Regions from separate parts of the Mus musculus genome. Here regions 1 and 2 are each reported to be linked to region 3. The links are microRNA targets in miRTarBase. Many come from high-throughput screens and were not tested one by one. Region 3 holds a microRNA gene; each other region holds the end of a gene's coding sequence.

Region 1 (4,201 bases), not on the chromosome of region 3:
GTCTGTGATCCCAGCACCCCTAACCCACCCTTGGCAGCACAGTGCCTGTGTGAGGATTCTTCACAGGTTTACCCAAAAATGGCCTTGAGCCCGGTGGCCTGCTGTGCCTTCTGAGCCTCACAGTCATTCCCGGGATAGCTCATATGTCGTGATGCACACTCCGAAAGGCTGGACATAAAACAGAAGCTAGAGCTGGAGATGCAGGGTTTATTTTAAACAACCTGTTTTCCTTCCCTTTTACCATCAGTTTTTCTCTGAGCCGCCTTCAAAAAACCTTGTACTTCTGACGGCTGAGGAGCACACGGAAAGATGCTTCATCATTGAGAATACAGACACGGTCGCTGTAGAAGTAAAGCACGCGCCTGAGGAGGACCTCAGGAAGTACAGCTCACAGACCAGCCAGGACTCGGGCAACTATTCCAACGAAGAGGAGGAGAGTGTGGGCACCGAGAGCGGCCAAGCTGTGCTCTCCAAAGCTCCCTGCGGGGGGCCATGCAGCGTGCCTAGCCCTCCTGGGACCTTGGAAGACGGGACCTGCTTCCTGGGAAATGAAAAATATCTTCAGAGCCCAGCCCTGAGGACAGAGCCAGCTCTTCTCTGCTGACAGGTGCTCGGCCCAGGCTGGGGGCCGTGTGGAGGAGACAGACTTATCTGAAGTGGCTGCCAGCTTCTGCTGCCAGCTGGAAGCCCTGGGTGCTGTTTGTGCCACAGATGAGGCTCACTGATGTCAGGCATCTGGTGGTTCTGTCTCGGTGTTTGTCCTCTAGGTGACATTTAGAACATTCCGATTTTTAATCCTGCCGTAGCCCCTCAGTGTGTCACAGGTACCATTGTCTACAGCCGCGCTTCCTAACCCATACCTCACCACAGCCGTGGCTTCTGACCAGAAGTCACTGAAACCATGGAGAAAGGGGACACTAACTGGAGGAGCTGGCGTTGTTTAAGATCTCAGTGTGGCCTGGGTGTGCCCGTTGTACTCTAGTACTTGCAGAACTAGAAAATGCCAGGGACAAAAAGCAGGCATGAACCATTCAGTAAGAGAGAAGCTAGTGAACCTGATGGTGAAAGAAGACCGTGTCCAGTCAGTGTTTGTGTGAAGGCCCTGTGCTGCTCTCTGTAGCCTTCCCGTGGTACTTATAAAACCAGGCCGAACCCTGTCCTCTGTCCGGCACTATTCAGGTCCCTTCCCAGCTCCAGGTACTTAAAAAACAAAGTGTTGGGTCCTGGGGTGAGGGAACAGCTTCGACGGCACAGTGCTGCCTGCAGGCGCCTATAAGTGACCTTAGATGAATGCTCCATGAGCATCTTCGGTAGGCAGGACATCCAGCAGTGCTGGTGGCTCCAGGGCAGACTCAGTTGCAGGCCAAAAAGGAAGAGAGAGGAGTCATAGCCCTGCCCCAATCGAGCTTGTTGCTCGCTGCACTGCGCCTTTGTAATCAATCTTGGTTTTTTTGTTTTGTTTTGTTTTTTTTAACTTTTAGGTGATAACATATTCTCAGATATAGCACACAAGAGACACTACACAAATTACGTCTGAAAGTTTTGATAGAAAAGAGCTTTTGACTGGGGTAGACAGCTTGCTCCTCACTACTACCTTGTATCTCAGTCTCCTCAACAGAGAGAGAATGCAGATTGATTTTCATCCTGAGTTTTATTTTCTTGCCCGGTTTCTGGGTTCGGGTGTGCTTTCAAGGCTCTGAACAGCTTGTCTGCCCACAGGGGAGCCCGGAGACCCAGCCTTTTGGCTAAATGTTGCAGGTTCCTGTACTTGAAGGACTCCAGCTCCTCTGTAGAGGGCATGGTCATCGCGGTCTGCAATCACGCTGATACCCAGAAAAATGGCCACACAACTCAAATCTGGTGCCACGCTTTAATAATTCTACCCAGCACGGCCCAGCCCTGTTCACGGCGGAAAAGCTCCTTCTGCCAGGACAGCCTGTGAAGAAACAAGACCTCCGAGGACGTGGCCAAGGAAGGCCCAGATGCTAGCGGGAAGTTGTTAGTTGGCACTCTTTCATCTCTCAACAACTGTGACACAGGTCTTCAGGGTGAAGCCCAAAGCAGCTATCGGTTGCAGCAGCGGGTAAGGAGGGGGCTTCACCTGAGCCTGGCCTTCTGGGCGAGCAGTTCTACCTGCACACTTCAAGACAGCCTCCATGACCCTTTTCACGGCACACCGCCTGCTTTTGGTGTGACCGGGGTTTCCTGTGCAGGCACATGTTCTTAAGGAATGCCATGCACACAGGCCTGAAGAGCTGGCTCAGCGGGTAGAGCACAGGTTGCTCTTGTCTGGGATCTGAGCTCTGTCCCCAGCACCCACAGAGTGCTTCTGGTTGCCTCAGACTCCAGGGGTGCACAAGGCCATGTAAGCAAAGACATGTAAGCAAAGACAGTTGTACACAGAGAAGTCAAACCTTTTTGAAAAAAAGAAACACCACGGGCTGGAGAGATGGCTCAGTGGTTAAGAACACTGACCACTCTTCCAGAGGTCCTGAGTTCAATTCCCAGCAACCACATGGTGGCTCACAACCATCTGTAATAGGATCTGATGCCCCCTTCTGGTGTGTCTGAAGATAGCTACAGTGTATTCATATATAAAATAATAAATACATCCTTTTTTTTCTTTTTTTACTATTGGATATTTTCTTTATTTACATTTCAAATGTTATCCCCTTTCCTGATTTACCCCCCTCCCAGAAGCCCCCTATCCCATCCCCCCTCCCCTGCTTCTATGAGGGTGTTCACCCACCCACCCACTCCCACTTCCCTGCCCTTGATTCCCCTACACTGGGTTATTTATCAAGCCATCATAGGACCAAAGACCTCTCCTTCCATTGATCCATGACAAAGCCATCCTCTGCAACATATGCAGCTTGAGCTATGTGTACTTCTTGGTTGATGGCATAGTCCCTGGGAGTTCTGGGGCAGTGGGGGGTTGGGGGGAGTCTGGTTAGTTGATATTATTCTTCCTATTGGGGTTGCAAACCCCTTCAATGCCTTCAGTCCCTTCTCTAACTCCTCTATTAGGGACCCCGAGCTCAGTCCAGTGGTTGGCTGCTAACATCCACCTCTGTATTTGTAAGGCTCTGGCAGGGCCTCTCAAGAGACAGCCATATCAGGCTCCTTTCAGCATGTACTTCTTGGCACCCACAACAGTGTCTGGTTTGGTAACGCTGTACGGCATGAATTCCGAGGTGGGACAATCTATGGGTGGCCTTTCATTCAGTCTCTGCTCTACACTTTATCTCCATATTTGCTCCAGTGAGTATTTTGTTCTCCTTCTAAGAAGGACAGAAGCACCCACACTTTGCTCGTCCTTCTTATTGAGCTTCATGTGGTCTGTGAATTGTATCCTGGTTATTTGGAGCTTTGGGGCTAGTATCCACTTATCAGTGAGTACATATTGTGTGTGTTCTTTTGTGATTGGGTTACCTCACTCAGGATGATATCCTCCAGATCCATCCATTTGCCTAAGAATTTCATGAATTCATCGTTTTTAATAGCTGTGCAGTACTCTGTTGTGGAAATGCACCACGTTTTCTGTATCCATTCCTCTGTTGAGGGGCATCTGGGTTCTTTCCAGCTTCTGGCTATTAGAAATAAGGCTGCTATGAACATAGTGGAGCATGTGTCCTTCTTACCAGTTGGAGCATCTTCTGGGTATATGCCCAGGAGTAGCATAGCTGGGTCCTCAGGTAATACTATGTCCAATTTTCTGAGGACCGGCCAAACTGATTTCCAGAGTGGTTGTACGAGCTTGTATTCCCACCAGCAATGGAGGAGTGTTCCTCTTTCTCCACATCCTCACCAACATCTGCTGTCAACAGAGTTTTTAATTTTAGCCATTCTGACTGGTGTGAAATGGAATCTCAGGGTGGTTTTGATTTGTAATTCACCAATGACTAAGGATGTTGAACATTTCTTTAGGTGCTTCTTGGCCATTTGATATTCCTCAGTTGAAAATTCTTTGTTTAGCTCTCTACCCCATTTTTTAATAGGGTTATTTGGTTCTCTGGAGTCTAACTTCTTGAGTTCTTTGTATATATTGGATATTAGCCCTCTATCGGATGTAGGATTGGTAAAGATCTTTTCCCAATCTGTTGGTATTGTTTTGTCCTTTTGTCAGTGTCCTTTGCCTTACAGAAGCTTTGCAATTTTATGAGGTCCCACTTGTCGATTCTTTTTTTTTTTTTTTTTTTTT
Region 2 (4,201 bases), not on the chromosome of region 3:
CCAGGGAAGTTCCGGAGAGCCCAGCAAGGTAACCTGGAATCTCAGCTAACCTCTGAGAGTTATTATAAAGACACTCTCAGTGTTCCAACAGTAGAGCACATTATTCAGGAACTTAAAGATATTTTCTCTGAACAGCACCTCAAAGCTCTGAAATGCCTATCTCTGGTACCCTCAGTGATGGGGCAGCTCAAATTTAACACATCAGAAGAGCACCATGCTGACATGTACAGAAGTGACCTACCCAACCCTGACACGCTCTCTGCCGAGCTTCACTGTTGGAGAATCAAGTGGAAACACAGAGGGAAAGATATCGAGCTCCCGTCCACCATTTATGAAGCCCTCCATCTTCCTGACATCAAGTTTTTCCCTAATGTATATGCTTTGCTGAAGGTCCTGTGTATTCTCCCTGTGATGAAAGTTGAGAATGAGCGCTATGAAAATGGACGGAAGCGTCTCAAAGCATACCTGCGGAACACTCTGACAGACCAGAGGTCAAGCAATTTGGCTTTGCTTAACATAAATTTTGATATAAAACATGATTTAGATTTAATGGTGGACACATACATCAAACTCTATACAAATAAGTCAGAGCTTCCTACAATTAATTCAGAAACCATTGAAAATACCTAGAAGATTTTAAAAATGGCTGTTATCTTATTTTGCTGTTTGGAAGAAAAGCTGTAAGGTATAGTAGGCCAGATAATGACTTGCTGATAGACCTCCAGTTTAACATACTATTAGCTATTGGTAATCCACGTGTTTAAATGGCCCCTGTTTGAACACTCATGCTTTCAATACCTGTCTGTTCTTCCAGAAGTTGGCATTAGGAGTGCCAAAATACCTCTGCTGGTGGCACTCTGAAAATGTTTTACTTAAAAGTCGTTTTAGGGGCTGGAGAAATGGCTCAGCGGTTAAGAGCACTGACTGCCTTTCCAGAGGTCCTGAGTTCAAGTCCCAGTGACCACATGGTGGCTCACAACCATCTGTAATGGGATCCGATGCCCTCTTCTGGTGTGTCTGAAGAGAGCAACAGTGTACTCATATACGTAAAATAAATAAATCTCTTAAAAAGTCATTTTAGATATGACATTATCACTGTCGATCCAGTTGTCAGTTATTAAGTTATCAGGTCTTTGGAAAATGAATTTTGTGAGAGAAATACATTTTATAATGTGTCATGATGAAAAACACCATTGACTTTGACTTGGAGTTTCAGGTGTTTCCGAGCTGTGGTAGCAGCACTTGGGAGGCAGAGGCATGAGGATGACAGGCTTTAGGCCTGGACCACATAGTGAGCCTGCTTCAAAGAACGAGTGAGGGCTGACTGGGGTGGAGCCTAGTGTGGAGCTCTTGCCTCAGTACTCAAAAGCAAAAAGAACAGCAAAAGTCACAGGAAGTAACGAGCAGCCTTCTGTGTAGATCCTGTCAGGGCAGAAGAACCTCAAAGGAACAAGTTACAGTAGCAGAGCCAGCCCTGCTGCTCCTCACTTGATTGCTGCTGTTTGCATTTCTTTGCTGAGCCCACATTTTCATAGGCTTGTTTGCTATTCACTTGTGCTTCATGGAGAAGAAAGACCCAGAGGCCATCCCTATAGGCAGCTGACTTGTCTGTTGTCTCCTTACATGACTGTGTCTGCTGCCTTGGCTCGGTTATAAGCAAAACCTACAGAAATAAATGTTTTGTGGTTTATCTAAAAATAATACAGAAAATATTGCTGTTATTTTTGGTGAATAAAATCAATTTTGTATAGTTTATTTCAACCTAAATAAAATGTGAATTTTGTTTAAATTTCAGGTGAGGTGTTTTTGGTGGGTCAGAATACATCCTTGTATATTTTCTTAAAATGGTTATTTCATAATCAGCCTCATGCCTTTTACGATTCAAGATGAAGTATTTTCTAGCTTTTCTCTTTTCTTTTTTATTTTTTGTTTGTGTTTTAAAGTGTAGAAAAATAATTAAAATCAAGAAGTTATTAAATGAGGACTGGGGTGGATCTCTTGCTAACATGTGCAAGGCCTAAAAGCAAGCTTTAAGTTTGCTCTTTTAACTGGTTTGCTGTGTATACATTATAGCCCTGCTATAGATTGTTGGGGCTCGTGTTTACTGTTTGTTGCTGGTTAGAATATTGCTGGGTGAATCGCATAATTGCCATAGGGCTATTTTGTGTTGAAGTGAGTTAATGTTATTTGACCTGCAAACAGCAGAATTGGATGCATGCATTGCAGCACTGGGTCAAGCCTGCTGTTTGTATCAAATAAGGACACACTACCTGTGCAGGTTATAAAAAGATGGAATTACTTTGTTGTTAGAGTTCTGTCCTTAACAGAGAGCTGATTAGTCCAGGGTGTCAGTGAAAGAGACCAGAGTTGGCCTGTTGTATGTATCTAGTTCTTGGGACTCTTACAAGTGTTGTGACTACCAGACTACCCAACCCAGGGCTGTTTCCTCCACCTTAAGGTTGTGCTGTGGGGATTAGGTAATTTGTTGTCAATGACCTGCTGCTGCCCAGACTTAATGGCTTAAAGAAACAATTTTACTTTTCACAGTTTTGAGGTTGGTTAAATGATTCTTTGCAAGCATTATGTGGGCTTTCTGCCTTTGGTTGGCAGGTTTGCTGGGTCTGGGTGGGATGGCCAGGTTTCTCCTTGTGGTCCTATACCTTACATCATTGTGGTTCTAGTGTACCAAGATGGCAAGGGAACCTTCAAAATCTGGACTCAGGAACTCACAGAGTATCACTTATACTGCATACTGTCAAAGCAAATTGTTTGGCTACTCTAGATGGAAGGAACAATCAAGCAAGTTGTCTCTGACAGCCCTAGTTGCAAAATGGGTCCTGTTTTCAGTCCACTACAACCATGTGTGCAGAAGCATTTAAAGGTGCCATCTTTGATGTTTGTGTATTCTCTGATTTGGGGCTCTTGGAAAGTGTGAAGGTCTCATTCCTGCCAGGCAGGCATTCTGCCAGAGCTGCACCCTGGCAAAACCCCAGTTAAAAGATGCATACAGCTCTTGTTTCTCTCTTGCTCTCTTGGGCTCTTCCCTTCTTCCCTCCCTTCCCTCCCCCTTTCCACGTGTTCATGGCCAGCCTCTATTTCTCTATTCTCTCCCCCTCTGCCTTTCTCTGCCACTACTACCCTCTTAACTCCCCTTGCCCTAAATAAACTCTATTCTATACTATTTTTAAAAAATGCGTACATGCCGGGTGGGGGGTGGGTGCATGGGGGTTTGAAGCCAGCCTGGCCTACATACTTTCTGACCAGCCAAGGTTACAATAGTGAAACCCAGTTCCAATAAACAGAAAAGGGATTTTCACAAATGTATCCTTGATAAGAGTTTGTGGTGGTTGTACAGATGAGAATTTCTATTTTCTAAAACTAGGTAATTACAAAATGGTAGCTGTGATAACTAATTATGTTACAAATATGCCAAGCTTCTCAACTAAGTATAGGCAGTAACCAAGTGTACTTACCCAAAGAACTTACAACCTAGATTTAGCCTATGAGTTACAACCACATTTTATTTTTTAAATATGTATTTTTATTTTAAATTGTATATATGGGAGGTGGGGGTGTGTGTGTGCATGTGTGAGTACGGGTGCCCCTGGAGTCCAGAAGGTGTTAGAAGCCCTTAAGCTGGAGTTAACAGATGGTTGTGAGCTGCTACATGTGGGTGCTGGGAACTGCCTGGTCTTCTGCAGGAGCAGTAAGCTCTCTTACCCACCCAGCCATTTCTTCAGCCTCCTCATCTGTACTTTTAAATACCCATGCACACAAAATGCACAACTTCAGTCGGTTAGATTTATTAAAGCAAAGGGAACAGAAAGTATCCATGAAAACCTCGTGGAGTTTGAACAAAAAATGTATCTAGACAGCTTGCAAAATGTCATAAGAAATATATTCAGGAATTAACATTTAATTGCAGGAATTTTTGCTCTTGACATTTACTCTCACTTCTGGGAGGAAAGTTACACAGCTGAATCTTACTGCAGGGTGGTGGCCCTATAAAACAGAGGGGAGTAGATCCGTCATCCAAACTTGCGTGTCATTTCTGTTGCATCGTAGGCTCCATGAGGTCAGTAGTAGTATGAGTTGGAAGAGGCCTCCTGGAGACCATTCCTCTGCAGTAGTTTAGCTGGATTTGGTTTGTTTTCATTTCTTCAGAGTGGGGGGCACGTGATTCTTCAGGAACAGGGAAGTT
Region 3 (4,201 bases):
AATGAGTGACATTTTGGAAGGGTGTCATTCCTGCCAACCCTCCCTTGGGCCCCAGGGCACTCAGATGTTAATTAACTCTCCAGGGACCCTTCTGATCCCTGTCAACAGCCTCTCCTTTGTCACTCTTAGTAAGAGCAGAGTCATAGGCATAGGCACAGCCAGAAGGGCAGGCAGACTCAAGACTGTGGCTGCACCCTTAGCAGGCCTTCACTTCCTAGGAACTTGGAAGGCAGTTGTCTCAAGGGTAAGTGAGGCCTGGGGAAGCTCTGCTCTGTTTTAAGCTAATTCCTGCAACCTAGCGGCACAGCAGCTGGCAGGGCTGGGAAGTGTGTTCTGGACGGGTCAGATCACATGCTCTTCCAGAATTAAGACACAAACATGTAAACAGGGTTCCATGTGCATCCTGTGATCCGGCAGAGGCTGAGGCACGAGTATGTGAGCTTCATGTCAATGGTGGTGAAATTACACAGTGAGATCCTGTCTCAAATGACAATTGCTGCTACTGCTACTAAGCACGTAAACATGTAAGTATACAGACAGGTCCACAGCATTCTGGATGTACACTAGTGTGGCAGCGACGTGTGCTCATAGAAAGCTTTCTCTGGGCTGGGATAATGCAGTTATCATCCGCTCTCAAATGCTGGAAGTGACACCGAACTTGCTCAGAGTCAGCCCTGCAATCATCAAAGACCACTGACCTTCCATAATGTGCTGTTGTGGCCACGCTGTAGCTGTCATGTTCTGTAGGTCAAGTGTGTCCAATGTGCATACAATTTTTTTATACTTATTTATTCATTTACTTATTTAGTGAGAGAGAGAGAGAGAGAGAGAGAGTGTGTGTGTGTGTGTTGTACACCCACCATGGTCCGTGTCTAAAGAGTACAACTTATAGAAGTTGATTCTCTCCTTTCACTATGTGGGTCCCAATGATCAAACTCAGGTTGTCAGGTTTGGCGGCAAGAGCCTTTATCTGCTGAGCAGTCTCACCAGCCCCATAGACTTTTGAAAAGTAATATTGTCCCTTACTTCGGTTGACAGTGGGTACATGGGGCTATCTGTGGCAAAGGCTTTATTGTTCCTCAGATCTACTGAATCCTTTTGAGACTGGAGCCCAGTGGTCAGATGGGCTTGTCACCATGCCCACATGACCAGCAGCCCCCTTCCCAGAAGGGCACGTGCTACTCTGAGTGACTCTGCACCCCCAAGCCTTGGCTGGAAGCCCCATGGAAGACTGTCTGCAAAGTCACCTGGAGCTGTTGTTCCTTGAACATGTCAGGGTGGGGTGCATTGAGAATGTCATCTGCCAGCTGGGCCTGGCTGTCAATGTTGACAGGAGTGGTGGCTTTGCTGCACAGGAATTTACTGAAAATCTCCCGGGCCCTGTAAGAGAGCTGACAGGTAGAAAGGTCTGAGCAGATCTGTAGACACACCCACTGGACACACACTTCCCACCTGTGTCACTCAAACATTCCTAAGGCTGACTCTGCTTCGGGGCTGGAGAGCTGAGTCACAGGCCCTGTCTATAGTCTGGCTTATGAAAGTAAATATAAAAGAAAGAGCCAGGAGGAAACTCCTGAATCGGCTCCTCTACAAATTTCTAAATGGCTGCAAATTTCTAAATGGCTGCTTTGTAAGGGCCTCAGAGGAGGATCTGCCAGCAAAGTGTGCACGACAGGGGAGGGCAAAAGTGCACAATGCTCAGAGCACAAGACACAGGCATGAGGCCACTCTGTGAGGACAGCTGTTACTTTGGGGGAAAGGCCACAGGACATGGCCTGGGCAGTCCTGGGGCAGCTAGACAGGTGCTGTTAAGCCACAGGTAGAGGCTGCAGTTTGCCAGAGTGCTTCTCCAAGTCTCTTCAAACACTGTTCCTTCTTACCCAACCCAACGTCAAGTGCCACCACTGCCAGGCTCTGTGGCGAGGCATTTATGCAGACTATGTTTAGGCAGAATTAAATGTCACACACTTAAGTTTTTATGCTGAAGCAGAAATGTCACCGTTCTTTAAAGTCAGTAAGAAGCATCCCTCATCGACTGCTCAAGCAACCCTTGATGTAACCTCGGTCCTCACACAGCCCCTGCTCTGAAGAGCAGTTTACCTCTTTTTTGTCATGTGCAGGAACATGACTGAAGCACTCACAGGCCTGCCAGAATAAAATGTTCTCTTCACTGAATTCCTTACGTAGAAAATCCTGAGGGAACACAGGAAGGAGAGCAGTTGTCACTCCACAACCCCTCTATGAAGCTGAGCCCCATATCCCCGGCCCTCTTTGTCTACACCATGGCAGGAAAGGAGCCTCGCAGGGGCCTTGAAAGCAGGCATAGGGGCTGCGCAGCACACGTGAGTGGGCGGGCCATCTGCCTCACAGCTCTTTTCTCAAGGGCTGGTCATCTTTTTTTTTTTTTTTAAAGAAATATATTTTTAGTCTCTGGTTAGCATATAAAATATGACATCATATCACTGACACTATTATCACGTGCTGCTCGTAATCACTCTTTCACAGCTCCATCCCTACTTCTGGATCCTTAAGAGCTGTATTTGTCAGCATGCATTTCCAAGAATTTTGAAGAAGCTCCAGCTAGGATGATGTCATACAACTGTAATCCTAGTACTCAGAAGGATAAGGCAGGGGGATTATGAGTTCCAAACCAGACTGACTAACATAGTGAAATCCAGTCTCAAAACAAACAAAAAAAACAAACACACAGAGCCAAGACACTCTGATGTTCCTTGCTGCACAGACATCGAGAGAGTGAGAGGGAAGTGTGCCGGCAGGGAACTCCAGGGCAGGAGGCAGGCCAGGAAGGGAAAACAGAACTGCCAGCCCCTACAAGTGTACACGCTACCTACCCCATCCTTGAGCTTGGAGCAGGTGCTGGACGACCACACCTCTAACAAGGTGATGCCCAGGCTCTGAGGTCTGAGATGGCCCCGTGAGCTCAAGCACCCGGGCTCAAAGTGCTGCCACCCCACAGCAGTCCCCCTTACTCACAGAGAAGTAGCGAACACCAACAGGATCCTGAAGGAGACGCTCAAATGACACTGCCCAGCTTGCAACTCTCCTCTCTCGTAGGCGCCGGCAGCTCTGCACACTGGGGAGGCTGGCATTGCTGCTCAGGCTGTTGTTGCTGATGCAGTCCTTAAGGTCAGCTCCAGTCAACTCTGCAGGATCATCACAGACATACCTGCACCTCGGAGGCCACAGGTACCTATATCCAGCTCTACTTCCCACAACCCATGTTGTTCACTGAGCAACATGTACTGCACCTGAAACCTAGCCAAGGCTTTCTAGACTTCAGAAAAGAACACATCTCAACTTCCCAGGGCTGAACAAGAGAAGCTATTGCCTAAGGTGTGCATACAACACAGAGCAGAAAGAATGATGCTGAGCATACGGAAGGCGGGAAGGCATTTATAAGTGCACCACAAAGCAAAAGCCCCTGAGTGAAGTCTGAGGAGGGGCTGCAGTTGGTCCCATCACCCTCCTGGTGCTGTCTGCTGCAATTTGGATCCATGGCTCATTGCCTGTGCACTTTTCTGTGTGCAGATCACTTTTCAGTGACGATATTAAGCCACACTATCCAAACTGAGTATTTAACCATGTGTCATCTGGTAGCTCATTCACTGATGACCCGATACAGGAAAATATTACAACAAAGAAAAGGAGATGTGTCTAGGAAGACCCCATCTATCACCCTTGTCACTTGAAGCAGCCCAGGGATGAGGGGAGGGCCACAAGCCAGTGTAAGTAGAACTCTATAGCACTGTTACACATGGTGCTCTGGAGAGCGAGGCACAGGTAGCTTCAGAGACAAGGCCAGCCCAATGTGGGGTGGCACTTTGGGGCTATGCCGTCAGGGGGCTCAGGCAGCAGAGCTGATGAAGGTGATTTTCCACGTGGGATCATTAAGGAAATGCTGCTACGTCACATAGTCACAGGACTCCATCTGCTCTGAGCATTCCGGACAGGCTACTCAGGATACTCTGCCCTCTGGTCAGGTCACAGGACAGATTCCTGGGGACAAGTTAGCAGGCTCTAGTTTGAGATCAGTCACTGAAGTGCCCTTTCTAGCAAGGAGGGGAGGAGAGGAAGACAGGGGACTGGAAGCAGCACAGACACTTATACTTTCAGATCACACCCGGAATAGCATGCAGATGGCAAGTAAACCACAACATAGAGGGCCTTGCAGGAGGCCCGG

What was found. The annotated mature microRNA mmu-miR-3097-3p reads CUCAGACCUUUCUACCUGUCAG and lies in region 3 at 1,392-1,413, opposite strand. An mRNA with a match to its seed (bases 2 to 7 or 8) in the 3' UTR can be bound and repressed. Matches are read on the target gene's strand: a 7mer-m8 pairs with bases 2 to 8, a 7mer-A1 pairs with bases 2 to 7 and ends in A, and an 8mer does both.
Region 1: the mRNA of Ifnar1 is a reported target of mmu-miR-3097-3p. Seed matches in the 3' UTR shown: 7mer-A1 at 1,532-1,538 and 7mer-A1 at 2,566-2,572.
Region 2: miRTarBase lists Thap12 as a target of mmu-miR-3097-3p. Seed matches in the 3' UTR shown: 7mer-A1 at 1,016-1,022.

What each region holds. Positions count from the first base shown.
Region 1 is chr16:91,504,808-91,509,008 of GRCm38, forward strand. Ifnar1 (interferon (alpha and beta) receptor 1) reads left to right here. Exons shown (of 11, transcript NM_010508.2): 11 at 248-4,201. The coding sequence ends at 604. Among named protein-coding and RNA genes, the nearest start is that of Mir6367, 21 kb to the right of the region's middle.
Region 2 is chr7:98,716,274-98,720,474 of GRCm38, forward strand. It overlaps Thap12 (THAP domain containing 12), which reads left to right. Exons shown (of 5, transcript NM_028410.2): 5 at 1-1,789. The coding sequence ends at 630. Gm19656 (a long non-coding RNA gene) reads right to left here. Exons shown (of 3, transcript XR_869811.2): 3 at 3,083-4,201. Among named protein-coding and RNA genes, the nearest start is that of Gm19656, 8.7 kb to the right of the region's middle.
Region 3 is chr5:35,018,306-35,022,506 of GRCm38, reverse strand. Mir3097 (microRNA 3097) reads right to left here and starts at 1,458; the gene lies at 1,392-1,458. It overlaps Rgs12 (regulator of G-protein signaling 12), which reads right to left. Exons shown (of 17, transcript NM_173402.2): 5 at 2,995-3,164; 6 at 2,101-2,193; 7 at 1,248-1,391.